Linked DNA regions of Daphnia pulex. The protein of the gene in region 5 purifies or fractionates together with the protein of the main gene of each other region. This does not show direct contact. Links are inferred from orthologs where the notes say so. Each region holds a gene or a part of one and is shown on either strand. Other genes may lie near its edges. The genes, in order: probable ATP-dependent RNA helicase DDX23, splicing factor 3A subunit 1-like, pre-mRNA-processing-splicing factor 8, U2 small nuclear ribonucleoprotein A'-like, puff-specific protein Bx42-like, pre-mRNA-splicing factor SPF27-like and splicing factor U2AF 50 kDa subunit-like.

Region 1 (4,024 bases), on a different chromosome or scaffold from region 5:
AAACAGACGACGTATCATTGACTTGTCCGTCAAAAAGTTCTAGTCTCAGTCTCTTGTGCTGTAACTACGGGAGAAAAACTAAGATGTTGAGTCCAATAAAAGTACCTACAACGCCATTTGAAGGCCAAAAACCTGGCACTAGCGGCCTAAGAAAAGCGGTTAAAGTATTTTCTCAGCCACATTACACGGAAAATTTTATTCAGTCGTTGTTAACTGGAGGACTTGGTGAGGCTCTAACCGGTTCGACTCTGGTACTTGGTGGAGATGGACGATATTTCTTGCACCAAGCAGTCGAGATCATTGTCCGCATTTGTGCTGCCAATAAGGTACAGATCCTTGTTATTCCGTTTTAAAAATATGGTTCTAATGTGATGTCATTACAGGTATCCAAGCTGATTGTTGGGCAGAACGGAATTCTTTCTACTCCTGCAGTCTCTTGCATGATTCGCAAGTATAAGACCAACGGTGGAATTTTGCTCACTGCCAGTCACAATCCAGGTGGTCCTGATGCCGATTTCGGCATCAAGTTTAACACCTCCAACGGTGGGCCTGCACCTGATGGTGTAACCAACAAAATCTATGAGCTTTCTACTGGAATCAAGGAATATTCTACAGTACCAGACCTGAAATGTGATATTAAGACCATTGGAACTCAGCAATTTGATGTAAGAAAGCTAAAATTAGTGATGTCATTCAAAATTTCATACCATGTTCCACTCTTTGTAGATTGAAGGCCACCCATTTACAGTTGAAGTCGTAGACTCTGTCAACGATTATTTGGAGTTGATGAAAGAAATCTTTGATTTTGGTTCTATCAAAAACCTTATTTGTGGAACAGGTCAAACCCCTCTGAAAGTGTTGATCAATTCAATGCACGGAGGTATTGATCTTTGAAAAAGTCTTTAAATACGACACCATTTGGCTGACCACTGTTTTTTTAGTGACCGGTCCTTATGTCAGCCGCATATTTTGCGAAGAGCTTGGAGCTAGCGCACAAAGTGTCGTAAATGTTATTCCCCTGGAAGATTTTGGAGGACATCATCCTGACCCGAATCTTACTTACGCCGCCGACTTGGTTCAAGCTATGAAAGAAGGCGATTTCGGACTTGGAGCCGCTTTTGATGGAGATGGAGTAATTAACTTTCATTAACTCTTAAACTTAACTCAATATTTCAATGTGTGTATTTAAATGAAGGATCGAAACATGATTTTGGGTGAGAAAGCCTTCTTCGTCACCCCTTCCGACTCTTTAGCAGTCATCGCCAACAATATGGATTGTATTCCTTACTTCCGTAAAACTGGAGTTAGAGGATTTGCCAGAAGCATGCCTACTGGTGCCGCTGTCGATAGGTATTAATTACATTATTGGACCACTGAATTTGTTTTAACTAAATAATTTTTTATTAGGGTTGCCGTCAAATTGCAGAAAAGTATCTACGAAGTCCCCACCGGCTGGAAATACTTTGGCAATCTGATGGATGCCGGACAACTGTCGCTTTGCGGCGAAGAAAGTTTTGGGTAAATTTTAGTACATTCGAATTTTATTTATGAAAATATTTCATATCTGCAATTTTAATAGAACTGGCTCAGATCATATTCGAGAAAAAGATGGAATATGGGCGGTTCTTGCCTGGTTGTCTATTCTGGCCACCAGGAAACAAACAGTCGAACAAATTCTAAAAGACCACTGGACTTTGTACGGGCGAAACTTCTTCACGAGGTGAATTAGAGGTTACGTAACACATTTATGTAACGTTACTTATGACATTGAATTGACCTTTTAGATACGATTACGAAAATTGTGATTCCGAGCCCTGCAACAAAATGATGGCCGACCTTGAGGCACTCATGAACGAACCCTCGTTCATCGGTTCTGTTCACGAATTCGATGGCAAATCTTTTACGGTGGCCCTGGCCGATAACTTTTCTTATACCGATCCCATCGATGGTAGCCTCTCCTCCAAACAGGTACTACAAATGTCTTTAACGGAAATAAAAATGTCAGTATTAATTCATTTTGATCCTAAAGGGATTGCGGATCATTTTCCAAGATGGATCGCGTATTGTCATTCGCCTGAGCGGCACTGGAAGCTCAGGGGCTACTGTCCGCCTTTACATCGATAGCTACGAGTCCGATGCTGATAAATATCTGCTTGACGCCCAGGTATACCATATTGACATTGATTGATGTAACCCTGAAGCTTTTAAAGATAAATGCCGTATTGAATTTAGGTCATGTTGAAACCACTTGTTCAGATCGCGCTTCGAATTTCCAAGTTGCGGGAGCTGACCGGCAGAGACGAGCCCACAGTTATTACGTAATAATAACGCCGTTTTTAATCAACAACTTGCCGAGCAATCGAGCTGCAGTTATTCTTAGTCAGCGCTCTAGTTTTTGTTTGTTTCGTGTTGGATTTTGGGTAAGATATGAATTAATAGTCTATAGAAAGTGTTGTTGTTGTTGTTGAAATTGGAATCTCTCCTGTTATCATTAAAATTTAATATTTGCCGAGTGGCTAGCTGCTTTGTCTAATAAAACAGGCAATCTTTGTGATACTGCGTGAACTGTCTATACTAGTCCCGATGTGATGATAGGGAAAACCTAATTCAGATCATACGTACGTATTTATCTCTCGGCTGAGAGGTAGACCTTCGGTACAAGTTGCACCACGACTGACGCTGAAGCCAATCTACACGCACTGGTACGTATAGGAATTGTTCCCGGCACTTTGCACCTTATCTTTTAACATACGACATTTGTCCTTGAAAAGGAAAAAAAAACTATACTTTGGACAAATCCGTTTTGACACTTATTTGTTTGCACTGAATTATCGCTAGCCTAAATCTATTTCGACCAAGTGTCAACTTATGTCTGGGTCTGTAACAAATTTAGCGTTTTGATTTTTACAAAATGATTGTATTATGTAACTTTGGTAGATTCGATCGTTAAATGCGTTTCAGTTCAATGTTTTCTGGCCAACATCGCAGTTGGGCAGTTACCTATACGTCAACAAAATAAAATTAGCCGAGTCGAAATAATGCCCAGCAGTTGATGGCAGTGAAAGGATCCGCGTGCGGATTGGCCATGGACTGAAGCCCAAGGGCGCCAAATGAGCTTTGAAAAACCGCTTCGCGCTGGTTCGGGATCAGTTTCGCTTATGTACATATCTCCCCCCCTCCACCTTATTGCCTATACCCCCACATTTCCTATGTACACACACACACAACCAGGTCAAAGTCGCCCGTTTCGTCCGCACTGAAAAAGTCGAATGCAAACCTCTCGATTCGCTCATTTCGTTTCGTGCGCTCGTCGTGGTGAGGTGTTACTTGCACAGTCTCCCATAGTGCTGTAACAGTGCCCTGCGGTGTTGTTTCATTTGACTCACGTTGTGTAATAATTGGCCTTAAAGATGCAGAATCTATTGAGAGTGGTGGGTCCTCTGAAAGAATGCATCCGCACCAGCTCGAGAAGTCTTAATACTGCGCAGCGGATTTGCGGAACGCATTTCGACCGCGTCGTGCCCGCTCGGCAGGCATTCAAAAGTCGACATATTGGACCCAATGAAGCCCAGAAGCAACAAATGCTTCAAGTAGTTGGGTGCAAGGTACATTTCACCTATTTTTACAAGTATTGTGTGTGGTGAATGTAATTCTTTGAAATTCGAAACAAGTTTCTATTTTACTAGTAGCCCAAATTTCGTTAGTCTTTTGTTTTTCCTTGTTTTTGTTCTACAGTCGTCTGCTCCATCCGTTTGAAACGTTTTCTTTTTCCATCACATTCGTCCTTCCGCAAATAGCAGTGCCCATACATTTCGTCCTTGAGAATTGTTAGGCCTTCAAAAATAATAGGGAACAGATTTTGTTTAGTCTTGGCATTTGAAAGCCTTGAAACTTGGAATGCGTAGACACTGGACCCGCGGATTAATCCTAAACTTTACAGACGTCTAGCATGTTGTTAAGAATCACGTTGAATCACGTTTAGAACAACACTGATAGGCCAATATTGTGACATATCTGTTTGTTT
Region 2 (4,281 bases), on a different chromosome or scaffold from region 5:
AATTTGTGCTAATAATAATGATTTACCTGACAACCGATAAATGGAGAAATGAGAAAAGTTGAATATATTTCCATTTCTGAGACCAGGAAGGAATCGATGACAGTGTAGCAGAGGGAGAGACAAAATGGTTGTAAAATGCTTTCCGATTACGTAATTATCCCCCAAGGTCCGTACTGATGTAAATGAGGTTTTTTGATGGTTTAGGATTTTCCAGAATTGTTTTTTACTTCTTACGACCGCCTCGTTCCTTCACCTGAAGCTGGACAACAGCATCGGGGGTAACATTGTAAAATGCCAGAGAATGATTGTCCTTGAAGTAGAGCCCCTCCCAAAAGAGCTTTTGCTTGGCCGGCGGCATTCCTGTCGCTTCACTAATCTTCTGCTTAACAACGGAGATTGGTTCCGTGGGCAACAAGGAAAAGCTGAGCTGCTGGCCCTGCAATCTCCACTCGGGTTTTTCGGCGTAAACTGGTGCACCAATATGGAAGTGGAGCAGACCGGGATATCTGACCAAAAAGGCTTCCTCAGGCATAAGTTGATCCTCGTTGCGCTGTCGTTTAGAAGGAGGCTCCTCCTCCATGACATCTCGACCACCCTGACCCTGCTGCTGTTGCTGCATCATGCCCATAGACTGAGGCATCTGCGTCATGAAAGAATTCTGGGGGACCATGGGCATTGGCATTGGCGGCTGAGGGATGGACATCATCATCATGGGTGGCGGCTGCGGAGCAGACATCATGACCGGTGGTCTTGGTGGAATGCTCATTAATTGTTGTGGAGGTTTAGGTGGCGCTGCTGCTACAACGCCATTAGATCCTAGCCCATCTTCTTCCTCGCTCATGCCAGTCATGAGCGCCTTGTTCTTGTGGATCTGCGCAATCTGCTCTTGTATGGTAACCAGGCCAGCAGGTGGACCAGGTCGGGGTTGGAACGTTGATCCTCCCTCTCCACCTGATGGTGGCGGGGCAGGCGGTTGTTGTCCTTCCCATTTGGTCTCGTCTTTGCGACGCTCTTCTTCACCAATCTTTTTACCGATGGCTGTCTCTTCGTCACCGACACCGAAAATATCTGTACGACGTTCAGCCAATGCTCGCAAGCTGTTTTCGATGGCTGATCCGGGCGCGTACACAGACTCTTGAGTCATCTTTTCTTGCATTTGTCGATCGCGCTGCTCCAACCAACGCGGATCCAGCAAACCGATACGCATGTGCTCAGCCACTTGGCTAGCCGGAATTCGCTCTCCAGTGATGGGTGAGATGAGGTACTCGTCTGGAGCAGGCGGACGGGCTTGTGGTTTTGCCACAGCTTTGGGATTGTAGTCTTTACGCACGATGACGTTTTCGGCAGAAGGAGCCACTGGAGGAGGCTGTAGTCCATCTCCCTTGATGGCTTGAGAGGGCGGTGCGCCTGGTGGTGGTGGTGGCTTTGTCTGTTCCGTGTCTGAATCGTCTTCTTCATCATCGTCTTCCTCTTCACTCTCCAGCTGCATCTCAACATCTTGTCCTTCTTCGTAGCGCTCCTGGAGAAGAATACGGGCACCGACCTCCTCTGGGGTTGTGGGAGGAGGGAAATTACCAATTTCGAATGGTTGATAGTCAACTGATTCGACGACTACAAAGTCGTGCCAATCAATTTGCGCATATGACACGCGTTCCCTTTCAGCTTCTTCTTCTTCTCGGCGTTTCTGAGCCTCTTGATGACGTTGCCAGTCGGCTCGTCGTTTGACTTCTTGTAAGACAACGCTAGTATTAGTGCAACCCTCGTTCAAACGGGTCATCAAGTCTTTCGGTGGGATAAGAACCTAAAGAATAACAAAATCATTTAGACTTTCATTCAAACAAAATAATCTACCAATCAAAATACTTTGGTGTACTGTTCTAGGAGACGAGTGAAATATTGAAAAAGCGAGTGCTGAGGACGCAGAAAGTCAAACTGATAATTTCTGGCCTCACGATTCATCAGACTTGTGAGGAACTGGCGACCATTCCTAGCTACAAATTGGGCAGTGAGTTTCACAATGTCTCTGAAATAAGACACAAGTGTTGTTAAGTTTTAGCTTCATAATATTTAAATAGTTATTTAAAAAACTCACAATTCCATGGCTGAAATCGATGGAGGATCAACAATGAATTCAAACTCTGGAGGTGGCTCTTTTGGGATTACAGGGGCTTCTTGCTGGAATTGTTTCAAAATTTCTTGCTGTTTCTGCTGCTGTGCCAACGAAGCTGGTGCTGATGTAGGGGCTGATGGTGGTGGTTTTCCCGGTGGGCCTGGGACAGGTGCTGCTGCAGGTGCACCTTCTGCAAGCTTTCCTTCTCTGATATCCTTAACTTTGTACTGGTAGTATGCATGATAAGGATCTCCAGTATTAAGAAAGTTGAATTTTGGGTTATTCTGCTCATTTTTCCTAATCCGTGCTTCAAACTCCAACCCATTTCTGGCTACAAAGCTGGCTGTCTTGTCCACAATATCTAAGAAGAAAATTGTTATGAATTATTCACGAACTTGTAAGTTGACAACAAACTTACTTCTGACTTCAGGAGGTGGGTAAATGATGCCGACAGTAGGCTTGGTAGAAGCATTCTCGGGCATATTTACTTCACCAGAAACTGGCAATGTTTCCACAGCAGGTGGCATGCTGACTATCAAACTCTATTCTGATGTATGAAATTGTCAGATTCTCACGTCAAAATTAAAAACTGATTCTATTTCTAAAATGTGAGTTAAATAGCGTTTTTCTGTTCCGGCTTTAACAGCAGAACGCAACAAAACGTTGCTGTCTATCCGCTACAATGTTGTCAGACTGTTTAATTTCAGTGTGGCGCCCACTTCTTCCGAATTCCGATTCCGACTTCTTCCCACTTTTTTCCACCTAGAAAAAATTGTTAAACTCTTATCTGCTATTAGTTCAATTCAGAAAAAGAATCCCTTGAACTATACTGTTGAATTATACGGAATTCACTAATATATGTCAAGTACCAAAACAAAATCATATCCAAATTCATAGTTCATTCGGTTCATTCATCTGTTTGCTCGTTTGAATCGATACAAGAAATGAAGAAAGTATGTAGTAAGAATTTAGAATAAACTTGAACGTTAAACAACAATGATCAAGTATAAAAAATACAACCACTTTGAACTGATTGAGGAATTATGACTGGATCTTTTAGATCTTTTATCTGATAGATTTTAAGATTTCTAACAGGCAATTTGAGTGAAGATAGTAGGAAAATGATTGTTTAGCAATGAACAAAGAAAAGGAATTTTGTTTTTAAAATCCAAGAGAAAATTCATTAAGCAACCATCAGATTTATTTTTCGACACTTGTTTGAAATCAAAGAATTTTCGAGCCGTTTAGGCAATGTTCGCCAAGTAATCCTTAACCTCAGCGGGAGATAATCGGCGGAAACCCTGCTCGTTACAAATACCAATTTCAACATTATCTTCTGTCATGCCTCCTTCAAAACCCTCTTTGAGAGTAAGAATCGCAGTGTGGACAGCATCGTCGAGCTCGAGGTCTTCATTGTATCTTTTCTCGAGGAAAGTTTTGCCATTGATGTAATTCTTTCCCATGGCAGTGGCTTTCCAGGCAAAGTAGGCTCCTGATGGATCACACTGAAACAGATATGGACGTCCTTCATCCCAGCCACACATCAAGAGTGAAACACCAAATGGCCTGACACCTCTGCATTACAAAAATTCATTGAAATGTTCATCTATACTATTTAAGAACTATTTTTTTGTGACAAAACCAAATATTTACCCAGACTGTGTGTACTCTTGCATGAGGGTAGCAACACGCTGGACAAGCTGGGCAGTTGGTATCTGTTCTTGATAAGTTACCCAATATTGTTGAGCCATTTTCCTTGCTTGACGAACCAAGAGGCGATAATCAGGACCCATTCCACTGTAGACCATACCGATCTTGGGGGTAATCATTTCAATCTTGTGAACACTGTGTTCTTCATATAAGATTGACCGATGCTTCTTCTCAGTGGCCAGAACGACACCATTGGCAGCTATAACATAACATTATTTACATTGTTACAATCTTTTACATGCTGAAATTTCAATATACCTTTAATGCCGACTGATGCAGCACCGGCAGCTACTGCGGCCAAAGCATACTCGATTTGTACCAGTTTTCCAGAAGGACTAAACAATGAAAATAAATGTTATATTTAGTCAAAACTTAGAAAGTAAATGATAGAAAACCTGAAAGTTGTTAGGGAGAAACTATATCTTTCGGAAGCCATGGTCTAGTTAGATTTTTTAGTTCTG
Region 3 (4,043 bases), on a different chromosome or scaffold from region 5:
AAAGCATCGACGTTGTTGAGACGATACTGGACATGGGAGTCGATGATCAGCTTCGTCAAACGCAGGATTTCACGACAAAGATGGAAAGCATTTCCGAAACGTGACTTTTTACGCTCCTTGGTTGTAAGGGTCTTGACGGGTTTCAAGTTGAAATTGTAATCCAAATGTAAGTAGTTGAGGTTCTTCCTGTGAATCAACAAGTTCAACATATTCCATCCTTGACGACAGACCTAAATTTGTTCAAACAAAGAAATGGGTTAAGTCTTTGGGAAGAGATATAAAAATATGAAATGTGAAGTTAAGAGGATTGTTAATATCAGTAAGTGCGTTGTCCCATCGAAAGTTGGCTAGCAAACGGCCAGACCCGACTTTCAATGTCTACCTAACATGTTATGGGTAATTTCATGACCCCTGCACAACTCATCATTATAAAGGACTCTTAACAGGAAAAAGTTTAATATTTACCTGGAGGCCGACTTCAACCCAATCCAAAGTTGTTTGCTGGAAGAATTTGGTCGACTTGAAGGACCGGAAAAGATAACGCTTGCGCTGGGCTTTCGGTGGTCGATGCTTGAGCGCATTCAAGACGTAGTACTTTAATAGCTTCTGGTATGAAACGCGCACCTTGACCGGTTGTCCGGGTGGGCAGTGTTCACGGTACCAGTTTTTGACCAATGGAACATCCAGTGCACGACGAGTGAATCCCGACCTGCAGTTGAACGGCCTGGGAGCCCACAACAACGCAATACCGTTCGCTGTGTTGTCCGTATACAAGGGCCATTCCTGTCAAGAGAAATATCGATTAAAATTGCTTTTTAACTAAAATTTCAGATGATGGAAAATTTACTTGAAGCAGTGGTGCCGCATATTCTGGTAATTCAAATTCTTCGCTATCGTCGGGTAACAAATCTTGCTCAGACATTTCTGCCAACTTGTTCTCGGTACGGCGATGCGAAATCGGATTGATGAGCGGATCGAAGTAGAAAGCCGGCAAATCGGGATCTTCTGTCTTGATGAAGGTCACATTTGGGGTGTGATACCTAAAAGAGAAATAATCATTGTAGGGCTCAATATAGTTTTATGTAGTAAAGACTAAGAGCTCTTGGTTTTTTTTATCTACGACTGTTTCAGCCACCAACATCCAAGTATCTTCTGGATATCGGTGTATATCTCAGCCATTAAAGCACAAGTTGAAAGCCAGTATTACTCACCAAGATAAATGAACAAAGTTGGGCATGTTGTTGTAGAGATAGGGGAAGGCAATACGATATTCTGTTCGAACAGGTTGCCGGATGATAATCTTGTTGATATCATTAAATTCATTCCAATCCTCATCTTGAGTGTTTCCGTCCTTTACAAGTGGCTCGAATTTAGGTCCACCCGGAATTGCCATATTCAGCGCCTTGGCGGTGAAGAATGACTTGAGGTCGAAGAGGTAAAAGTAATTGTCATCGACGAGGTCAGTCAACAATTGGTTCGCCAAACGGTAGAGTGTCGCCAGTTGAGGCATTTCGAGTTGCCACTTGCGATAGGTGGTACCATTGACGAATTTAGTATCGACCAAAGGTTTACTATCGTACAGCCAAGAAGCAACTGGTTTGTCTTCGTCCGAGTCCAACTCCATCTGAATGGCTTCCAGGGGTTCTACATCCAAAATATTGTCAGCATAGTCCAACGGAGGTTCTTCGTCGTCAAAAGGAGGAAAGCGCATTCGTTTGAAGTGTCTACGATCTCGTTTCTCTCGACGCATCATAATCCACATGGTACCCCACTGGGCAATGTAAACAGGTTCAACGACCCACGGAATTTCGTTGACGAAGCTAATGGCACCTAAAACAAATGAATACCATTAGCGTTTATACAACATAAAGAAAAGATAAGTGAAACGAACCTGTAATGTGGTAGAGTACTTTAACATCACGGATTTGTTCCCAAGGCATAGGCATGTTCTCCAAGAGCTTGAGAACAGCGTGTGGCATATATTTAAGAGCACCAAGGTACACTCTCTTGTCGTGACGGAACTTTCGGTTGGTCATATCACCATGGTCCCGAATGATTTTACGGACGTGCTCTGGAGGCATATCTTCTTTCTGAGAATCAACAAAGCCAAACTTTCTCTTGTCTGCATAACGTTTGGTTTGTAATTGCTGCCATTTACGAGCCTTGTCTTGCATTTTTTCTTCTGTCATCTGCTCTTGTTTCGAACTAGTTATTACAGGAGGACCTGATGTAAATAAAACTGATAAAATACCTTGTTATAATAAACGTTTGTACTCAATTACTACCTTGTGTTGCCTGAACCTGAGCCTGCACTTGTGCATGGGCTGCTTGAACTGCATGGATCTGAGCAGCTTGAAGTTGAGCAGCTGCAGCTGCTTGAGCCTGCATTTGGACCGCAGCAGCCATTTGGGCTTGCTGTGCCTGTTGCTGGGCTTGCGCCATCATGGCCGCATTTGCCCATGGATTTGGGGGTGTGACACCAGGAATAAAAAATGGTGGAATTCCCGACATCCTGATTTAAGCTTTCTGGGCTATGGCCCTGGTAATTAAAACAATAAAATTAGAACATAATAGCTCCATCATCCAATGCTTACAGTCAGCCATGACATTTACAAGCATGTCCACTCTCATGGCAATAAACTATTTGTTTAGCCTTAAAACATTCACCAGACAGTTACTTTTGAGACACAAACCATCATCAATGAAACAAAGTTTGAAATAGAATAAACGACAATGCTCACCAATAAAGTTTTAAAAACCTATACACAATCTAGAAACCAGTCGCAATTCCACGTTTCTTATACAATGAAAGCCACGGAAGTATACGCAGCTTGTACGAAAAAGCGCGATGCCGGTTTACTGTAGACGGAGTTGCCGTCGAAAATGGCTTGAATATTTATTTTAATTATTTTTAAATAAGCGGCAACTCCGTTTGTTATTGCATCACACGTTCGAAATTTGTCTGCTTCTTTTTATTTTGAGTTTGTTGCAGTTTTTCGTTTTTCTTATCATGTTTACACATTGTTATCGTTCGATTTGATAAATTAGTAGTGAAAGTTTATCGCTACTAAACCGAACTCAGTGCAAATTCTTAATGATCACCATTCTAGTCTGTAGTTCAAAATATTTTTTGTGACTCCAATTATCGTAACAACAATAGACTACTGCCATGGAAGTATAAAATTATAATGTCCCCTTTTTCAAGACAAGATTAAAGAGGATTTCATTTTTTTTTTTATGTAAACGTTTTATGTATTTCAGACTCTTGCAATCAAGTTGATTGAAGGTCTGTTGGAGGAACTGTCGAGGACAAAATCACTTTCAGTTTCCTTAGCTGGACCATTAAAAGATTCAGCCACTGTTGCTTTGCCAACCTTCCTTGGTGGCTTAGCTGGTGGTCCTCTTGGAGCTGTCATTGGTAATTTTCAGTTTGGCAGTTTTCATTTTTTTCCATTTGGCACCTATCATTTTTTCTTGTCATCATTTGCAGGAGCTGTCGCAGGCACAGGAATCCTAGGTTTATCACACGCTATGGGATATGGCAATTACAAACCTCTGATGACAGCTTTAAGAGAGGACTTTACGGTAGAAGAGAGGAACAATTTGTATGAAAGACTATGGGGAAGACTGAGTGGATTTGTAGTCTGCCCTTTGAATCAAGCCATGGCTTATTCAGCTCTAACTGAATTGAGCAGAACTGTAGAGAATAATCCAGAAGTGATGGAAAATATCAGAAATGAGCTCAAAGAAACCCTCAGCAAAAAGAATATGAGTTTGGCCTAAAAATGAAATAATTACTATTTACTGTAGTTTTTAGATGCCCCTTATAATTGAACTGCCCCTTTGATTTGTGATATTGCAAGAGCTAAAATCATATTAAATAATGAATTTTTTGACACACAATTTATGCAACCAACAATAATTGTTTGAGAGTTTTGGCGCATTATTAAATACACTAAGTGCATCACCAATTCAAGGGGAACTGTTTTTTAAGTTTTAGTTTAGTTTGACCTGATGCATATCATACGAAAATCCAGTAATTC
Region 4 (3,434 bases), on a different chromosome or scaffold from region 5:
TGTGGAATTTCCACCAACTTTTAGATATACCCAACAGTTAAATTGTTAAATTTTTCGAGAATATTCTGAATTAAATCTTACTTCAAGGTACTGACGTCTTGGAAGACACTTATCAAGTGCTAGAAATTGAGTTGATTGTTTTTCATTATGTTGGATTGTAGCAGCAAACCTACAATGAAGGTGGGCAGCAAACCAATGTTTAGGCTTCAATTCGTGAAGTAATGTTTCTCCAGCTTGACTTCCCAATACATTTTGGGCTATCTCATCACTGGAAGGGGAAAGAAAGAAATGTGTAAATTGAATTGTGTTTTGGAACAATTAGGTAACACTATTTCAAACCGAAAGAATGGTTTCCAATGCAGAAGTTCTCTGGTATCTGCATAATTGTAGACACCACGAGGCCAATCATGTGAAATAAAAATATCTATGTCTTCTTTTAACTGAAAATTAAAAGACATTTAAGTTTTTAATCTTTAAAACAATCAAAATGTAATTACCTGTTTCAAGCGAAATACTTCAAGACTACGAACATGATAAGCTGATCTCATAGTGCTGTTTGTGTAGGGAGGTTTTTCAAAATGTCCTTTCAAGTAATCATGTCCTTTAAAGATGCCTGATATTCCCGCTATTCTGATGCCACCAAACTTGACTACACCAGCATAGCCAAGATAATATATATTTGGAGCAACCCAGCCTCCATATGCAAGTTCTTGTAGATAGTTTGATGCTTCATGATTGCCTCCAATGAAAATAGTTAAAATTGGTGCTTTCAATTCACCATTATAATACCTGATATTGAAAAAAACAGTAACAATTACAATAAACTCTTATTTGTCTAAAACAATTATAAATAAATACTTGTAGAATGTACAGATATGACGGAATTTGTCAGGTACTGCCATGCATTGTAAGTCACTTTCGTTTCGAACAGCTTGAAAATCTCCACAACAGATGAGCAAATCAACTTTGACATTTCTTTGCCTCGCCAAATTCTCGACAGACCGGTAAATTTGATCAAGTTCACCATGAGCGCACCCTTCAACAGCAATAATCATGTTTTATACTGTCTTTAACTTGATATTTTAAGATAAATGTCAAATGCTGTTTCAAAGTTGATAACTTGCTTTCAAGTTACAACACAAACTCAATATTTTGAAGTTGTTTACAGTTTTACTGGAAGCCGAATCGTTCGTGGCTATTGTCGTCTGCTTAAAACCTAGCGGCAAAAACACAGCCATTTTCATATATTTTCTAACGTTTATAATTTTTTTTAATTTTGTTGACAAATTTAAATACTTTAGTTTAGAAAAGTATTTATATTTCAAGATAAAAAGCTACAGATGCACAAAACCTTTGATAAAACTTTAGTTTGAAAAGTTAATTTCCTGTTTGGAAATGTATTCGGAAATGAGTTGCAACATCGCACATGGCGTCACTTAGATATCCCTAGATTTGTCAACTACAAACGTGCAAAAACATTTTGTTCAAGTTTTAATTGCATCTTTTCCCAAATTCAATTACGTGTTTAAGGTTTAAAAAGCCAAAAAGAAAATGGTGAAGTTGACGGCTGAGGTCATTCACTTGAGCCACCAGTACACGAATGCCATCAAAGAAAGAGAACTAGATTTAAGAGGTATGTAACCGGCGTTCAGCTTCAATCTCATTCAGTCAGTTACTAAAGTTCAAAAGTTTTTTGTGTTGGCTTAAAAAAAGTGATGTAATTGTAAAAATATTTCGTGAAAATACAGCTATTTTTTGTCATCATTTTAGGTTACAAGATTCCTGTAATTGAAAACCTAGGAGCAACTTTAGTAAGTAAATTTGTAGTGTAATCATGCTGAACAGTTACTGGAGTGTTTTCTTTTTTCAGGATCAGTTTGACACAATAGATTTTTCAGATAATGACATAAGGAAATTGGATGGTTTTCCCTTGCTGAGACGAATTAAAAGTCTTCTCCTAAACAACAACAGAATCTTGTAAGTTTTTTGTTGTATTATTCACAAATTTAATTTCATGCAAATGATTCTTTAAAATCTGTAGACGCATTGCTGATGGATTAGGTGAAGTCATTCCAAACCTCGAAACCCTTGTCCTGACAAATAATCATCTGCAAGAGTTGGGCGACCTTGACCCATTAGCAGAATTCTCTAAACTCACCTATTTAAGTCTACTGAGCAATCCTGTTGCAAATAAGCAACATTATCGTTCATATGTGATAAACAAGTTGCCAAGCCTGAGGGTGTTGGATTTTCGTAAAGTAAAACTTAAGGTAATAATGTTCTACCTGACATCAGGAATTTTCCTCCTTATTCATGTAAAACTTGATTTGAAGGAGAGAGAAGCCGCCCGAGACCTATTCAAATCAAAGAAAGGAAAAGTATTGGCGAAAGAAATCGCCCAGAAAAGCAAGTTTCTTTCAGCTGAAGCGGGAAATAAGGCACCGATAGGTAAAAAACACAAATGTTTTGTTTTGTTAGCCTAAGAAATGTTATTAAATTATTTTGTGTAGGTGGTGCATCTGCGGAGGAGGCTCGTGCAATCCGAGAAGCTGTTGCTAATGCCTCCACCTTGGAAGAGGTAGAACGTCTAAACCAAATGTTGAGGGCAGGTGTCGTACCTGGAAAAGCCACCCAAGGCTCCAGCAAAAACGGAAATGCAAATGGTAAATTCACATCCTGTCTTCAACTTCCTTGTTTCGTTTGTTAAAACTTTTGAATTGTTGTAGGTGAAGATATGGAGGAGGAAGAAGATGAACCCATGGAGAAATGACAATGCCATCACGGGTAAAAATTAATTTGTATCAAGCTGTTAATGTGAATGTGGGACTACACTTTGATAATAAAAATATCGCTACCCTAGAGTAAATAAGGTAGCAGAAAGATATTTTTGAAATTACAAATTGCCCGTCTAATTTGTGTCACAGTTAAAAGACCGAGAAGCGATTAAATTTGGTCATTTTAACAAAACTGTGTTGTGAAAAATGCGTAGCGAAACCAATTTTCAGTCATAGAATTAGATATGCTACATAGTGTGTATATCCTACGTGTATTCGGAAGAGGCTCATCTGCCATTTGCGGAATGAGTCATGCATAGAAGGCGGATGTGGGGGTGTGCGTTATTTTCAGCCGGACATGACGGGTTAGGAGTAGCTTGGAAACTGTAGACGATCTAATTTAGAGCGTTTCGTGTCCTTTCATTAACGAGCGTGCCCGTGCGTAAGTTTCGTTGTTTTGAGTAAGATTTTTGGCGCCCACTCCTATTTTTCCCGATACCACATCCGGAATATCATGAGCTAACACCGCCATGATGATGTGATAATGGCAGCAAACTTGGTTTGTAGGTTACAACTTACAGCTATACGAAAATCCAGAACTGATCGTTTTAAGTTCAAAATTCTACTAATATTTACAAATAAATCATTAGTATTTGATAA
Region 5 (4,283 bases):
TATCAGCATAGAGCAGCTACACAGGCTTCTGGAGGCTAGGTGTTTTTATCGTGGACTTTCCACTGGACTCTTTTCATGATGATTATTACTTACACTTGTCTGGTGATATTCAAGTCTTCTGCTGCATTTTCGATTTACCATTATGTACATTCTTGCAAAATGTTTCGTCACTTTACAGTATTGAATCAAGTGTTTTGTCTCGTAATCAATGAATAAATAAAACTAGTCACAGACATTTCATTTGAAATGTATTCTGGTCTTGGAGAAAAGGAATCATTGTTTTTGTGGTTTTTTTAAAAAGATTTTTTTTTGTGTGAGGTAAAATGAAACAAATTGCGAAATCGTCAACGGAAAGAAAAACAATATTTAGTCTCGACGCCGTCTCTTATCCTTGTCCTTGTCTGAGCGTTCCGCGTCAGTGGGTCGTTTGCTACTGGCCTTGCGGACGTCCGTCAAAAACTTGTCGAGGCCGAAAGGATCCTCTTCCTTCTCAAACTGAACTGGACCACTGCGGGAGCCGGAAGGACCAGAACGATCAGTTCCGCTAAATTCCTTATCAGGTACAAACCTGTAAACAAATGAAAAACAAAATGAGTTTCAACTTCATAAACCAATGCACCTTGAAAGTAGGTCAACTTACTTGCTGGTCTTGACAAGTTTATCCAAATCGTCGCCGTACAAATCTTGATCGAGGTTCTTGGTCGGACGATAGAGATTACTGGACAGAGTTCCTTGTTCACGCCAAGGTTTGTCGTAGACATTGTAGGCCTCATCATCGGCGAATCCACTGTCCATTCCACGAGTTTGGTTCAGTAAACGCTGATCGTACATGGTCTCGCCACTTGCAGAAGCTCGAGCAGGCATCCCCAATGCAATCTGCTCACTAATGTCACGCTCGCGTTGGCGATCGAGTTTGGATCTACGCGTCAATGGAAATTGTTAATTAATTGACTGGAAAAAGTTGAAAGGAAATCAAATGTTTAATACTTTTTATCGCCGGGAGCCGCGCGTGCAATGTTGCGCTCACGTTGACGCTCACGATGCCGTTCTTGTCTCAAGTTGTCACGCTCCGCTGCATCATCGTCGTCTTCACGAGCAGCAGCAGCGCCTGCACCGGGTCGCAGACCTGCTCTCTCTTCGCGGACTTGCTGCGCCAGCTGTCGCAGAGTATCTTCCTTCTTTTCCTTTTCTTTTTGCGCTTGTTTCTTTTGAAGTTGGGCGCGAAGTTCAACCGACTCTCTGGCCTTTCGATCGGCTATGTACAATGATTCGGCCAATTTCGCGAATTTCTCGTTAATGTGAACCTGCGAGAAACAACAACATTTAGTTGATTGGGGAAAGACACGTTTTTAGGTCGTTAGGGACGGCACCTGTTGAAGTCCTCGACCATCGGCTGCCAAACGTTTGTCAAGAGGAATGGTGTAACCTTTAGCGTTCTTCCAATTTGAAATGCAAGGCGGAATTTTCCATTCCTGTTGTTCCTTGACAGTTACTTTACGTGTAGGAGAATGCAACACGGGGGCAGGAGGAGAAGGTGGACCACGGGGGATTTTTTGGTTGATTTTGAACCTAGTGAAAAATAATCAGTCAATATGGGAATGAAATGAAATGGCACTTTTTCTAAAATTTACCTTGGGGGTTCCATGGGATCTTTTTGTACTTCAACCATGCGGATAATGCGTTGTTTGGCGCCAGAATTGAATTCATCACCCTGCTGTGCTGGTGTGTAGCGAATGAATTGAGCAGGGCCAGTTCTCTCTGCGGCACGGACTGGAAGAGCTGCTTCTACTTTGGCATTGGTGATTCTTTCCAGGGCTTGTCTCGTTTTCTCTGTTATATCTGCAATTTCATCGTCTGTGGGCTTGTGCAAAGAGGGATCATCCTCATTGGTAATTTCAGCAGGCAGGAGATCAGTGAATTTGGAGTAGACGTGTTTGTCCTTCCCATGGCCTTGCCTGGCAATAGCATCATATTTGATCTTTCCCTCTGCATCAAGTTGGATGGCCAAGGCATTTGACTTTTGTCCAGCCTGGTCTTTGCGACCCATGTCCATTGGATATTGGGCCATGTGAATTTCGGGAAAAGCACCTCCATCTCCGAAATCGGAAACATTTCGAGGCATCCATGAATCGCGATTTCCGTATGGTGGGATTGCCTTTGTGGCGGCCACGATGGCCGTTTGGCGATTAGCACGTTCCTTTTGCTCCTCGACATCTCGATCCCACGTCAACTGCGTTGGCGCTGGGAGATAACTGTATAAAATAACATGACCATAATTAATACATAGTTTAAATACAAGGAAATCAAAAAAATAATTATTATACCTTGATAACGACGCCATGTTTTCAGTCGAGTCTTTCAACCAAGATGTTGCCAAATACAAAAATTGTAACTCGAGAATAATTTATGATGCAACGTTGTCAGATTGTTTCTTCGCAACAGAGCGAGATAAAATGCGGGATATTTTCGGCTTTTCGCAACATCGACATTTTATTCGATACAAATTAAAAAAAAAAGAATATTATTAAATTATCCAGAGTTTACATAAAATTGTGTCTCCATCAATGGGATGGGGCGCTCAAGACGTGATGGGAATTATATAAAAAAAGGAAAAACGTCGTATCGATCCTGAAAACTTTTTACAAGATTGTGGCGCCGTGTGTGTGTGTATGCTCTGCGTTGGATGTATCCAATAAGGTTTAATGATGGGCGGAATAAATAGACGCACTTGAGATGAGAGTGTTAGCGCGCCTTTTCTTATTACAGTCTCTCTCTCATATTCCTTCCGACGTTTTTCTTCTCCGTTCCATAAAAAAATAAGAGCGCAGTCAACAACCTTTTTCCTTCTCCTCGCAGCCGTTCTTGGCATTTTTTACGGTAATGAGATGAAAGTCGAGAGTGGGTGGAAAAGAATAAGAAAGTCAAGTAATCCATACCCGCCCCGAGTTGAAATACGAACGCTTGTCAACTCTAATGGAACTTCGCGTCTCTTGCAATCTGCTTGTAATAACATCTAATGGCAAGGCAAAATATAACGAGTTGCCGCCCACTGTGTTTTTCGTTTGATGCAACGCAATTAACGCCGACGTGTAAAAGTGAGCGCTGATGAAATCGACCCTCTCTGTGTTACAAGTTGGACGCCGAGCGGAACTGAGCGCATCGCCATATGAAAAAAGTAAACACCTTAAAAACTTTCACTTTGGCCAATATATCCCACGACGACGACACAGTCGTAAAAATAAATGCTGTTCTCGTTGGGAGGGTTGCACCATCTGATTTATCAACGGATAGCTGGCTTAACAGTCTGAAATCCGGTGGCCATAAATGCCAACGTAAGAGTTTGATATACTATAGTGAATAGATTCTCATTTTGAAGCGATGCGAATCAGCGAGGCAGTTCAGAGTCTCGTCCCATAACAAATGATAAATGTGGATGTGCGGTGACCGTGAGCTCGCCTCATCTCCGTCTCTCTTCCGCCTTCCGTTTCGACTTTCAATGTGTGGGCCAATAAATCTCTTTTGCGGCGTAGGGCTTTATAATGCATCCACAATGCATACAGTACATCCGATAATAGAGAGACAGTTGTAGGACAAGATTTGGGAACTTTTCGACGACGACGGCTGCTCTCTTTGCAACAGGAAATCAATACGAGATGTGCTGATGCCGGTCTCCAATAAATAAAGGAACGGCAGCAGCAGCACGTCTCATTATCAAAGTCTTCTTCTTCCTCTGTATATATATCATCTATTTGATCCAAGACTATATATGTGTGTGTATAGCAGTTTCGCCTTTTCCCTTGTGCGATAATACAGTTGGCTGGGTGGTGGGGGTTGGTTGAGGCTCTTTGGACGGATCGATCGATATAGGCCGCCTTGTCTCGCTCAGACTATACTATGTAGGCCTTGGCACAAGGGGAACTTGATTTGGCACCGGGGTGCTTGTGGCGCAGCAGCTGATGGTGAAGTTTACTGACAGATAAGCCCATGGCAGCAGTCATGTTTATTATTCAAGTTATTTGCCCATGGAGAGAGAGATAGTTGAGGTCCCGAGGCACGTTAATTACGCAACAGCACCGAGCATCTCATTAAGACGAACAATAATAAATGCATGCAGGATGTATACAGTTCATTCAAGTAGATATGCGTGTGTTTCTTATGAAAATGTATCAGGAAGCCGCGACATTTCCCCATGGCAATTGTTTACAAGGGGAAAAGAGGTTGTCTTCTTAATTATGAGCTACTTGAAGATATGTTACGTCTACTCTATTCTTTTCTCATCTCGT
Region 6 (3,096 bases), about 3.9 Mb from region 5:
CTGAACTAGTTAGCGATGTCAAGAAAGCCAACGCGTAAGATATCTTTAAATGCTTAACTTACAATATGTTACGTTTTCAACAAATATGTAATATCCGTAAACTAATTTTCAGGACGTTGGTCCAACTTCTTGAGAGGACTAAGAAAAAGTACCAATCTCGATTAAAAAGACTAGAGCAGCAAATGGTCAACATGTCGGAAAGACATGCAATGCAGGTATATAGAGAAAAATTACGAGTTATCAAGTGTGACCGACATAAAAATGTCATGTGATTATCAGGTTCGCGTCCTAAAGCAACGAGTTATGGTGCTGGAAGATGAGTCTTCCGTCCGCCCTTTACCTTTAAGTTCAGCCCCAAGTGAGACTTCCCTATGATCTTACCCTTTTTTTTACCCTTCTCTGAATTACGCTTTGCTGTACTCATACGCTTCTTCTCGTTTTCAATTGTGTGATATATAAAATCAGAACGTGCTACTTACCATTTATAAGACAAGCTAATCTGAAAGTGCATGACTTTATACTATTTTTTTGTTTTGTTCCCTTACAACCAAATCTTTTTGGTTGTCACTTACTGAAAATCTCGGATGAATCAATTTCCTGTTGCAGTGTATTATCCGAATTCGATAAAGTAGGTTTACATTGAATTTCATTCATTAAGTGAAGCTAACTGTCTCTCAATTTCAGCACACGCGAGTTCGATTTCGTAGTTTTTAGTGATCAAACCAAACCAAGTGGCTTCCAAATGTTTCATTTTGTCTCCAACCTCTGTCTGATCTTTTTTTCTAGCCCAATTGACATCTTGGATTTGTTTCCTGTAAAGAAAAATATAATAGTGTATTTTGCAATATGGTGTCTACTTTACTGAAATCATACTTAAATTCCTGAAGATGCTTCTGAGATTGTTGGATCATCTGGGACAATACAGTGTTATAAATTCTCCATGATTCACAACCATACTCTGACATTAATTCCAAGTTCAAAATCCTGTTTTTTAATTGAAATTTTTTTAAATTTATGGTTGCTGTAAAATTTTTTTTTAGAAAACAAACCTTGTTGTTTGATGTTCTAATTGAGCCATTGAATTATCAACACACTCTATCCATGCTTGAAGATCATTTAGACGACCAGCAGATGGGGGTGGGAGTTCATATCGTTTCATGCTCAAAACATCCATTGGTTTCTTTTGAGACAGTCGCTCAAATTCAGTCTTCATCAAAGGAGTCTATGAACATGATAATTTCCATAATTATTACACACTCCTATCATTACTTCCATGCAGACAGTTCTTACTTCAAATGCTGACAGCTCAAGTGGAGGAAGATGTTCTAGGTAGTTTTTGGTTGGTCTATATCTTCGTGTCTCTTCATCAACCAATGCAAGTGCCTGATAGAAAGAAATTACTCTCATTAAACAACTATTGGACAAGAGCGAGAGTTCTCAGCAACATACAGTACTATGGTCTAGTACAATAATGTATTGATGTTAGAGATGACTAGGCTAACACAAGAATCTCCAAGCCTCAATTCGAAGCGATTCAAATATTTCAAAGTTTGCAATGTATAAGTTTTGCTTACCGCTTCTCGTAGAGTTGGATCTCCATATTCTTGGTCAACGTATGGTAAATCGTCAACCAAAATCCTTTCGTTCGGCGTGGAAATGTTTGTTGACGGAATCGGCATTTTGTGATTTGTGTCAAACTGTCTGTTGTCAGCAAGATTGTCAGATTTTCTGCTGGATTAATAAATATGAGCCACAGTTTTAGTAATTGATTTTCATTATGTCTAATTATTCATAAACTTACTTTTTGATAATGAATAAAGATCATTAACTTCCTTTAAATGAATAAAATATGAAAATAAATTGGTATATTAAATTTTATTCAATAATATTTTGGACACCGTTGCATTGTGAAACAAATAAAACAATATTAAAAATTTTATAACTAATCACTCCATTAAAATGTTTGAAATCATCAATTGAAACTCCATAATTTTTGTTATTAAACAGTGGATCAGTTCAGTGAATAATCTGTAATTTTTCAAGTAAATAATCAAGTAAAAAACGGAACGTAGAGGGCGGCAATTCTCAAAGTATGCCGGCAACATTGTAGACTTCCTCTTTGTCGCCATTACTGTGGGTCTCTTTCATTCGCCTTTTTACCCGGTCAGGACTATCTACCAAGATGGTAAGCATGAGGTTCTCCAAACATTTTACTAGTTTTTACATACATTAATTTACGAATAGTAAGTAAAAAGGTTAACGGGAGAAACGTGTTTTAAGAAAATTCTTGCGTGCGTATATTTTTCTAAGCCATTTTCTTGTTAATCTATGGCGAAAGTTTGGGAGTAAAATGTTACCCACAGCGTGGTTTCGTCCTCGTGTCAAATGGGCTCTTGCTGTTTTTCTATGTTAATTCAACGTCGTTCTTGGTTTATTGTTATGTTTTGGTTAATTGGTACATCTAGTTCAAAGTTTGTGTAAATTCAAGTGTTGTCTCTTGAAAATCTTAAATCTAATTTGTTTATCCATTTTGTTTTACAGAGTAAGGTGGTCGCGAGGCCGTTGATTACCGTTTACAATGAGAAGGCTGAGGCCTCTGGAACCAGCATCCAGCTCCCTGCAATCTTCAGGGCTCCCATTAGGCCAGACATTGTCAGCTTTGTTCAACAACAAATGTCAATGAATCGTCGTCACCCTTATTGTGTCAGCGAGAAAGCAGGTAACTTGTATGCCAATTATATGGCACACAGCATTGAAATGTAGGAGTAATTGTACGTCAGACTCTTCTTGTGCAGTGTGCAACACTAAAGCGAGTCCCTGAGGCCTTTCTCGCTTTGTTTTCTTAAAGTGAGGGGTTGGGCAACCGGACAAACTTCATACACACATGTAATGGTGTGATTGTTAATCTTCTTCTTTCCTATTACAGGTCATCAGACAAGTGCTGAATCATGGGGTACTGGTCGTGCTGTGGCTCGTATTCCCCGTGTCCGAGGAGGTGGTACCCATCGCTCCGGTCAGGGTGCCTATGGTAACATGTGTCGTGGTGGACGTATGTTTGCCCCCACCAAGATCTGGCGCCGTTGGCATCGCAAGATC
Region 7 (4,166 bases), about 5.0 Mb from region 5:
ATATGGTTTGGTTATACATTACTACACATGTTATTGTTTGTTTTGTTTTTTCACCGACACGCCAAACAAAGAGGTTGGACAACACAAACTTGATGCAAAATATCGAAAAACCCATTTAGAAATGACAAAAAAAAACTGAAGAAAAAGAAAATCAAATTCATCAAGGGAAATCCCGTACGCATCAGGCCGTTTATTCTCATCAAGCGTCGGTTCGTCATGACGTTATTTGTTTCATCAAAGTAAAAAAAAAAAAAAAAAGAAGGGGCATATCTTGCGGATTACTTTTTGTCTGATGACAGAAGCCGTCATGGCTTAGAAGTCCCGTCGGTGATAGCGTTCCGGTTCGTAAAATGACGTAACGACGATACGATTGGCGAACTTGCGACCTGTCAGCGCCTGCTGGGCTTTAACGCAGTCGCTCACCGAAATAAACTCGACGAAGACCTTGCCAACTCCCGGTACATCATCGACACCCTCCAACGGCCTGGGAATTTCGACTGAACGTACGGCTCCATGACGATTGCATTCCTCACGAATATCGTCCACAATTTCCTCATATTCCTCGTCGTCCCTCAATTCCTCGGGTGTCACCATGTTCAGCAGACATAGAACCTACGCAAAAGAAAAGACCAAAATGAAATTAAAAATTGTCGCATTAGACAAGGTTGATTTTTGTACCTCTGTCGGTTGGCCAGGACCGGCAGCAAGATTGAATCCTGGTACTTGAATCTGGACTGGCATCTGGGCGTAAGCAGCGGCGTTTTTGGCTCCAACACTGGCTCGCTGGATGATGATCTTTTTGTCTCCCAACTGCATACCGTTCAATCCGGAAATAGCCTGAAAGAAAAATAAAATTAGATGTAATGGTTTTTCAAGGAATATTATCATGGTCTACTTTACTTGATCGGTGACGGTGACGTCGGCATACTCGCAGAAAGCGTATCCCTTGGATAAGCCAGTAGCCGTATCTTTAACTAAGTTAAAGGCTCGAAGTTGTCCAAAAGACATCAGCAATTCCTTTACCTAAATTCGAATGAGACAATTTGCGTGCGTGCCTAGAGTCGACCTTCAAAAATAACAATCTAGGGATCGACGGTGGGGAGATGGATCGAGGTTGTGTGGTTGGAATGGGTAGGAAGTTTTAAGGATCACGTGACCACTGTTTAGGGAGAACGAAAGAAGAAGACATTCATCAGAATCGATTTTGCTTCAACTAGACGCTCACAAATCCCATTTCTCTCACTCTTTTTTCTTCTCCCAATCGAAAACACATTTTACAGTCACATCGACGAAACAGGTAACTTACTTGTTCTTCGTTTAAGTAATTTGGAAGTCCACCGATGAACAATTTGTGGGGTGTATCCGGGACGATCGTGCTCACTGAGCAAAAAACAATGAATACATTAAAGAAATTTGCCATAAAAGAATCACTTTAAGTCGTCCTTACTTGTGCCTCCTCCTCCTCCACCACCTCCACCTCCAGCCCTCTTTTCAGTTATACCACCAGAACTCATGCCGGGCGTTGTTTCGGGACCACCACCTCCTCCTCCTCCGCCGCCACCACCAGGTGTTGGATGATAATCATGGGGTCTGCGGATTTTTAGAGTTTGACCTTTAAAGTTAATACCGTCAAAAGCCATGGCCTGGGAAGTTTCATCAATTGACCGAAACTGAAAAGTAAAAGAGCAAAATTATTTAAATATTCCACTAAAATACTAGGTTTCACGTGAAAACAATCCAACAAACCTCCAAGAATGCAAAATTCTTATCCAGATTAATTTGACAAGCTAAAATGGGATGACCTGGAGCTTGAGACAGACCAGACAAATGCATCTGTTGATTGAAGAAATCCATCATTTCCTCCTCCGCTGCGCGTACATCAGAAACTCCAAAAGGAATATTCCCAACATAGAGTCTCCTGGCTTGACGAGTGATTGTGTTACCCACTACTGGTACTTGGACTTGTGGGGCTACTTCCGTCATTATGTTAGCTGGAATTTGTCCGGCAGCTACGTAGATTCAAGAAAATAATAATTAGCACATTAAAATTGAAACTTGAATAAGGATTTATACCTTGCATTGCTTTGTATTGCATGGGTGTGATGTGTTCGAAACCAATAGGAGGAATATCCCAGTAAATAGACGGCTTTCTTCGGCGTTGCTTTTTAACAGGAGAACGACTCCTTTTGCGTTCACGTTCACGGGACTTGCTACGCTTCTTCTCCTTCTCCTTTTCCTTAGATTTAGACCTTCTCTTTCTGTCACGAGACCTGGACCGTCTACGATCCCTGTCTCTATCTCTTTCCCTATCCTTGTCTCTTTCCTTGTCCTTTTCCTTATCTCTGGAACGGTCACGATCTCTCTCCCTGTCAACTAAAGTATTTCAAATGTTAATAAATCAAACAAGTAAGTTTACTTGCTTGACTACCTTCTAACTACTATGACTAATATTTCCATACAAAAGCAAAACCACGAGCCAACATTATAAACCATTAAAAGTTATGAAATTATGTGTAAAATACAACCAGATCATTAAACACCCATTACTTGTAAGTAATGTGTGTTAAACATTTCTTTCTTAAGCATCACAGACTCTTAAGAACATTACAAAAGCATTATAGTTGATATTGACAGAAGTAGTTTAGAGAAGTTAAAACATACCTTTACGATCATCTTTATCTTCTCCCATGATTAACGTGTGATTGTTAGCTTTTGTACGACAATAAGAAGAAACACAGCAGAGGAAAACAGTTAATTATTGTCCAAATTTTCACTAAGACTGTAAGCCGGTTTGATTAAAGGCTGGGAATGGGCGAATGGCGTCGGAGACGAGGTTCGATTGACTCCTTGTACCGGCAACGTCGATTTAATGTTTACAATTTCAAACTTGGTTTTGATTAATATACTGAAAGGTAAGATTAAATATTTCATAAAATAATAGCCACATAAAATTTATTTTCTGAGTAATTGTTGTATTCATGTTAATCCTCATTAGTTGTCATTTTGCCAATTGACAACAGTCTATGCTACATTTTGACACATATAATCGTCTGCTTGACTAGCTACATCAGTTATACAGACAAGCACGTGTTTGGATAGATTTAAAAGATGAATCACTCTTCAGTTAAAAAAGAAGCTTCTATTGTTACTAAAGCAAACACATCAAAGAAGAGACCACCCAATAAAAGAGGAAGAATAATTATTCGCAATTTATCTTTCAAAGTAAGCCAAGAAACTTTAATTTATGCTACTTTTAGTATGTTAGTAAGTTAGTACTTGATTTAATTTATTAACAGGCAACAGAAGAAGCTGTTAAAAACTGGTTTGAGAAATATGGAGAAATTGAGGATGTGAAATTATTAAAGAAACCTGGTGGCACTTTAGTTGGCTGTGGTTTTGTTCAATTTAAAACAGTTCCATGTGCGGCTACAGCAATCAAAGAATGCAATGCAAAACCATTTCTTGGTAAGAAAATTTTAACATTTTAAATTTGATAATAGCTTATCAATTGTTTTTTTTTTGTAGGAAGGCAAATAGCTATTGATTGGGCCATACCAAAACAACAGTATGCCACTTTAAATAATAAAACTGACGAAGTTCCAAACATTGAGCCGCCAGAGAAGAAAAATGACAGAAAAGATGAAGAATCTGATGATGAAGAAAGTAATGATGAAGAAGAAGATAATGATGAAGAAGAACAAGATGGAGAAGCTTCTGATTCTGAAGTTGAGAATGGTTCCGGTGAAGAAGAAAGTCCAAAAAAAGAAGAAGCTTGGAAGGGTGATAATTCTGAAATAGAAAAGAAGAGTGATGTAGCAGAAGGAAAGACTCTTTTTATCAGAAATTTGGACTTTTCAACCACAAAAGACTCGTTGAAAAATTTCATGGAAAAATTTGGCAGTGTTCACTATGCATTGTTGTGTATGGATAAAATTATGGAGAGACCCAAGGGCACTGGATTCGTAAAATTTAGAGTAAGTTGCATTATTGCAAAAATAAATACATACTAATAACTTTTCATATTAACCATTTTTAGGATTCGGAATCGGCTCAAAAGTGTTTAGAAGAGTCTCGAAATCCATATTTACAGTTAGATGGACGCATTTTAGACGTGGCTCTTGCAGTTACTCGGGAAGACCTCGATCACAAAAAGCAAGAAGCTGAAA

What was found.
Region 1: the proteins of puff-specific protein Bx42-like (region 5) and probable ATP-dependent RNA helicase DDX23 purify together in Homo sapiens (affinity purification with mass spectrometry; 3 studies listed by BioGRID and IntAct, with this or other methods). This does not show direct contact. The link is inferred for Daphnia pulex from reciprocal best matches to the Homo sapiens genes SNW1 and DDX23.
Region 2: the proteins of puff-specific protein Bx42-like (region 5) and splicing factor 3A subunit 1-like purify together in Homo sapiens (affinity purification with mass spectrometry; 3 studies listed by BioGRID and IntAct, with this or other methods). This does not show direct contact. The link is inferred for Daphnia pulex from reciprocal best matches to the Homo sapiens genes SNW1 and SF3A1.
Region 3: the proteins of puff-specific protein Bx42-like (region 5) and pre-mRNA-processing-splicing factor 8 purify together in Homo sapiens (affinity purification with mass spectrometry; 5 studies listed by BioGRID and IntAct, with this or other methods). This does not show direct contact. The link is inferred for Daphnia pulex from reciprocal best matches to the Homo sapiens genes SNW1 and PRPF8.
Region 4: the proteins of puff-specific protein Bx42-like (region 5) and U2 small nuclear ribonucleoprotein A'-like purify together in Homo sapiens (affinity purification with mass spectrometry; 4 studies listed by BioGRID and IntAct, counting the BioPlex papers as one, with this or other methods). This does not show direct contact. The link is inferred for Daphnia pulex from reciprocal best matches to the Homo sapiens genes SNW1 and SNRPA1.
Region 6: the proteins of puff-specific protein Bx42-like (region 5) and pre-mRNA-splicing factor SPF27-like purify together in Homo sapiens (co-immunoprecipitation; 3 studies listed by BioGRID and IntAct, with this or other methods). This does not show direct contact. The link is inferred for Daphnia pulex from reciprocal best matches to the Homo sapiens genes SNW1 and BCAS2.
Region 7: the proteins of puff-specific protein Bx42-like (region 5) and splicing factor U2AF 50 kDa subunit-like purify together in Homo sapiens (affinity purification with mass spectrometry; 4 studies listed by BioGRID and IntAct, with this or other methods). This does not show direct contact. The link is inferred for Daphnia pulex from reciprocal best matches to the Homo sapiens genes SNW1 and U2AF2.

Annotation. Positions count from the first base shown.
Region 1 is NC_060019.1:348,371-352,394, reverse strand, and holds the start of probable ATP-dependent RNA helicase DDX23, read right to left. Parts: upstream 2,834-4,024; 5' UTR 2,623-2,833; intron 2,555-2,622; exon of another isoform or gene 2,323-2,554; coding exon of another isoform or gene 2,233-2,322; intron 2,165-2,232; coding exon of another isoform or gene 2,030-2,164; intron 1,969-2,029; coding exon of another isoform or gene 1,785-1,968; intron 1,721-1,784; coding exon of another isoform or gene 1,580-1,720; intron 1,519-1,579; coding exon of another isoform or gene 1,408-1,518; intron 1,351-1,407; coding exon of another isoform or gene 1,196-1,350; intron 1,133-1,195; coding exon of another isoform or gene 942-1,132; intron 881-941; coding exon of another isoform or gene 727-880; intron 666-726; coding exon of another isoform or gene 384-665; intron 327-383; coding exon of another isoform or gene 84-326; exon of another isoform or gene 1-83. Other genes in the region: phosphoglucomutase-1-like, read left to right, coding at 84-326, 384-665, 727-880, 942-1,132, 1,196-1,350, 1,408-1,518, 1,580-1,720, 1,785-1,968 and 2 more; glycine dehydrogenase (decarboxylating), mitochondrial-like, read left to right, coding at 3,411-3,605. UniProt on the Homo sapiens protein: Involved in pre-mRNA splicing and its phosphorylated form (by SRPK2) is required for spliceosomal B complex formation.
Region 2 is NC_060024.1:13,065,743-13,070,023, reverse strand, and holds splicing factor 3A subunit 1-like, read right to left. Parts: upstream 2,850-4,281; 5' UTR 2,638-2,849; coding exon 2,529-2,637; intron 2,472-2,528; coding exon 2,093-2,471; intron 2,024-2,092; coding exon 1,864-2,023; intron 1,802-1,863; coding exon 224-1,801; 3' UTR 38-223; downstream 1-37. Other genes in the region: proteasome subunit alpha type-2, read right to left, coding at 3,355-3,685, 3,764-4,019, 4,079-4,155, 4,216-4,256. UniProt on the Homo sapiens protein: Component of the 17S U2 SnRNP complex of the spliceosome, a large ribonucleoprotein complex that removes introns from transcribed pre-mRNAs.
Region 3 is NC_060027.1:2,049,268-2,053,310, reverse strand, and holds the start of pre-mRNA-processing-splicing factor 8, read right to left. Parts: upstream 2,897-4,043; 5' UTR 2,742-2,896; intron 2,540-2,741; 5' UTR 2,512-2,539; coding exon 2,286-2,511; intron 2,225-2,285; coding exon 1,892-2,224; intron 1,831-1,891; coding exon 1,212-1,830; intron 1,041-1,211; coding exon 848-1,040; intron 784-847; coding exon 466-783; intron 231-465; coding exon 1-230. UniProt on the Homo sapiens protein: Plays a role in pre-mRNA splicing as core component of precatalytic, catalytic and postcatalytic spliceosomal complexes, both of the predominant U2-type spliceosome and the minor U12-type spliceosome.
Region 4 is NC_060021.1:10,325,724-10,329,157, reverse strand, and holds U2 small nuclear ribonucleoprotein A'-like, read left to right. Parts: upstream 1-1,408; 5' UTR 1,409-1,551; coding exon 1,552-1,633; intron 1,634-1,770; coding exon 1,771-1,811; intron 1,812-1,870; coding exon 1,871-1,977; intron 1,978-2,041; coding exon 2,042-2,270; intron 2,271-2,333; coding exon 2,334-2,448; intron 2,449-2,510; coding exon 2,511-2,663; intron 2,664-2,726; coding exon 2,727-2,770; 3' UTR 2,771-2,900; downstream 2,901-3,434. Other genes in the region: lariat debranching enzyme B-like, read right to left, coding at 1-17, 82-268, 340-440, 498-789, 859-1,055. UniProt on the Homo sapiens protein: Involved in pre-mRNA splicing as component of the spliceosome. Associated with sn-RNP U2, where it contributes to the binding of stem loop IV of U2 snRNA.
Region 5 is NC_060018.1:215,911-220,193, reverse strand, and holds puff-specific protein Bx42-like, read right to left. Parts: upstream 2,816-4,283; 5' UTR 2,342-2,815; coding exon 2,325-2,341; intron 2,253-2,324; coding exon 1,632-2,252; intron 1,570-1,631; coding exon 1,371-1,569; intron 1,305-1,370; coding exon 988-1,304; intron 920-987; coding exon 641-919; intron 569-640; coding exon 367-568; 3' UTR 232-366; downstream 1-231. Other genes in the region: uncharacterized protein LOC124188708, read left to right, coding at 1-79. UniProt on the Homo sapiens protein: Involved in pre-mRNA splicing as component of the spliceosome. As a component of the minor spliceosome, involved in the splicing of U12-type introns in pre-mRNAs.
Region 6 is NC_060018.1:4,114,019-4,117,114, forward strand, and holds pre-mRNA-splicing factor SPF27-like, read right to left. Parts: upstream 1,863-3,096; 5' UTR 1,802-1,862; intron 1,732-1,801; 5' UTR 1,680-1,731; coding exon 1,575-1,679; intron 1,384-1,574; coding exon 1,291-1,383; intron 1,223-1,290; coding exon 1,050-1,222; intron 985-1,049; coding exon 874-984; intron 813-873; coding exon 647-812; 3' UTR 590-646; downstream 1-589. Other genes in the region: uncharacterized protein LOC124189006, read left to right, coding at 1-34, 113-215, 280-358, 1,587-1,618, 2,542-2,719, 2,927-3,096. UniProt on the Homo sapiens protein: Required for pre-mRNA splicing as component of the activated spliceosome. Component of the PRP19-CDC5L complex that forms an integral part of the spliceosome and is required for activating pre-mRNA splicing.
Region 7 is NC_060018.1:5,212,976-5,217,141, forward strand, and holds the start of splicing factor U2AF 50 kDa subunit-like, read right to left. Parts: upstream 2,843-4,166; 5' UTR 2,690-2,842; coding exon 2,662-2,689; intron 2,374-2,661; coding exon 2,074-2,373; intron 2,010-2,073; coding exon 1,747-2,009; intron 1,671-1,746; coding exon 1,448-1,670; intron 1,381-1,447; coding exon 1,307-1,380; intron 1,024-1,306; coding exon 901-1,023; intron 838-900; coding exon 679-837; intron 613-678; coding exon 313-612; 3' UTR 1-312. Other genes in the region: RNA-binding protein 28-like, read left to right, coding at 3,109-3,222, 3,297-3,465, 3,526-3,974, 4,037-4,166. UniProt on the Homo sapiens protein: Plays a role in pre-mRNA splicing and 3'-end processing. By recruiting PRPF19 and the PRP19C/Prp19 complex/NTC/Nineteen complex to the RNA polymerase II C-terminal domain (CTD), and thereby pre-mRNA, may couple transcription to splicing.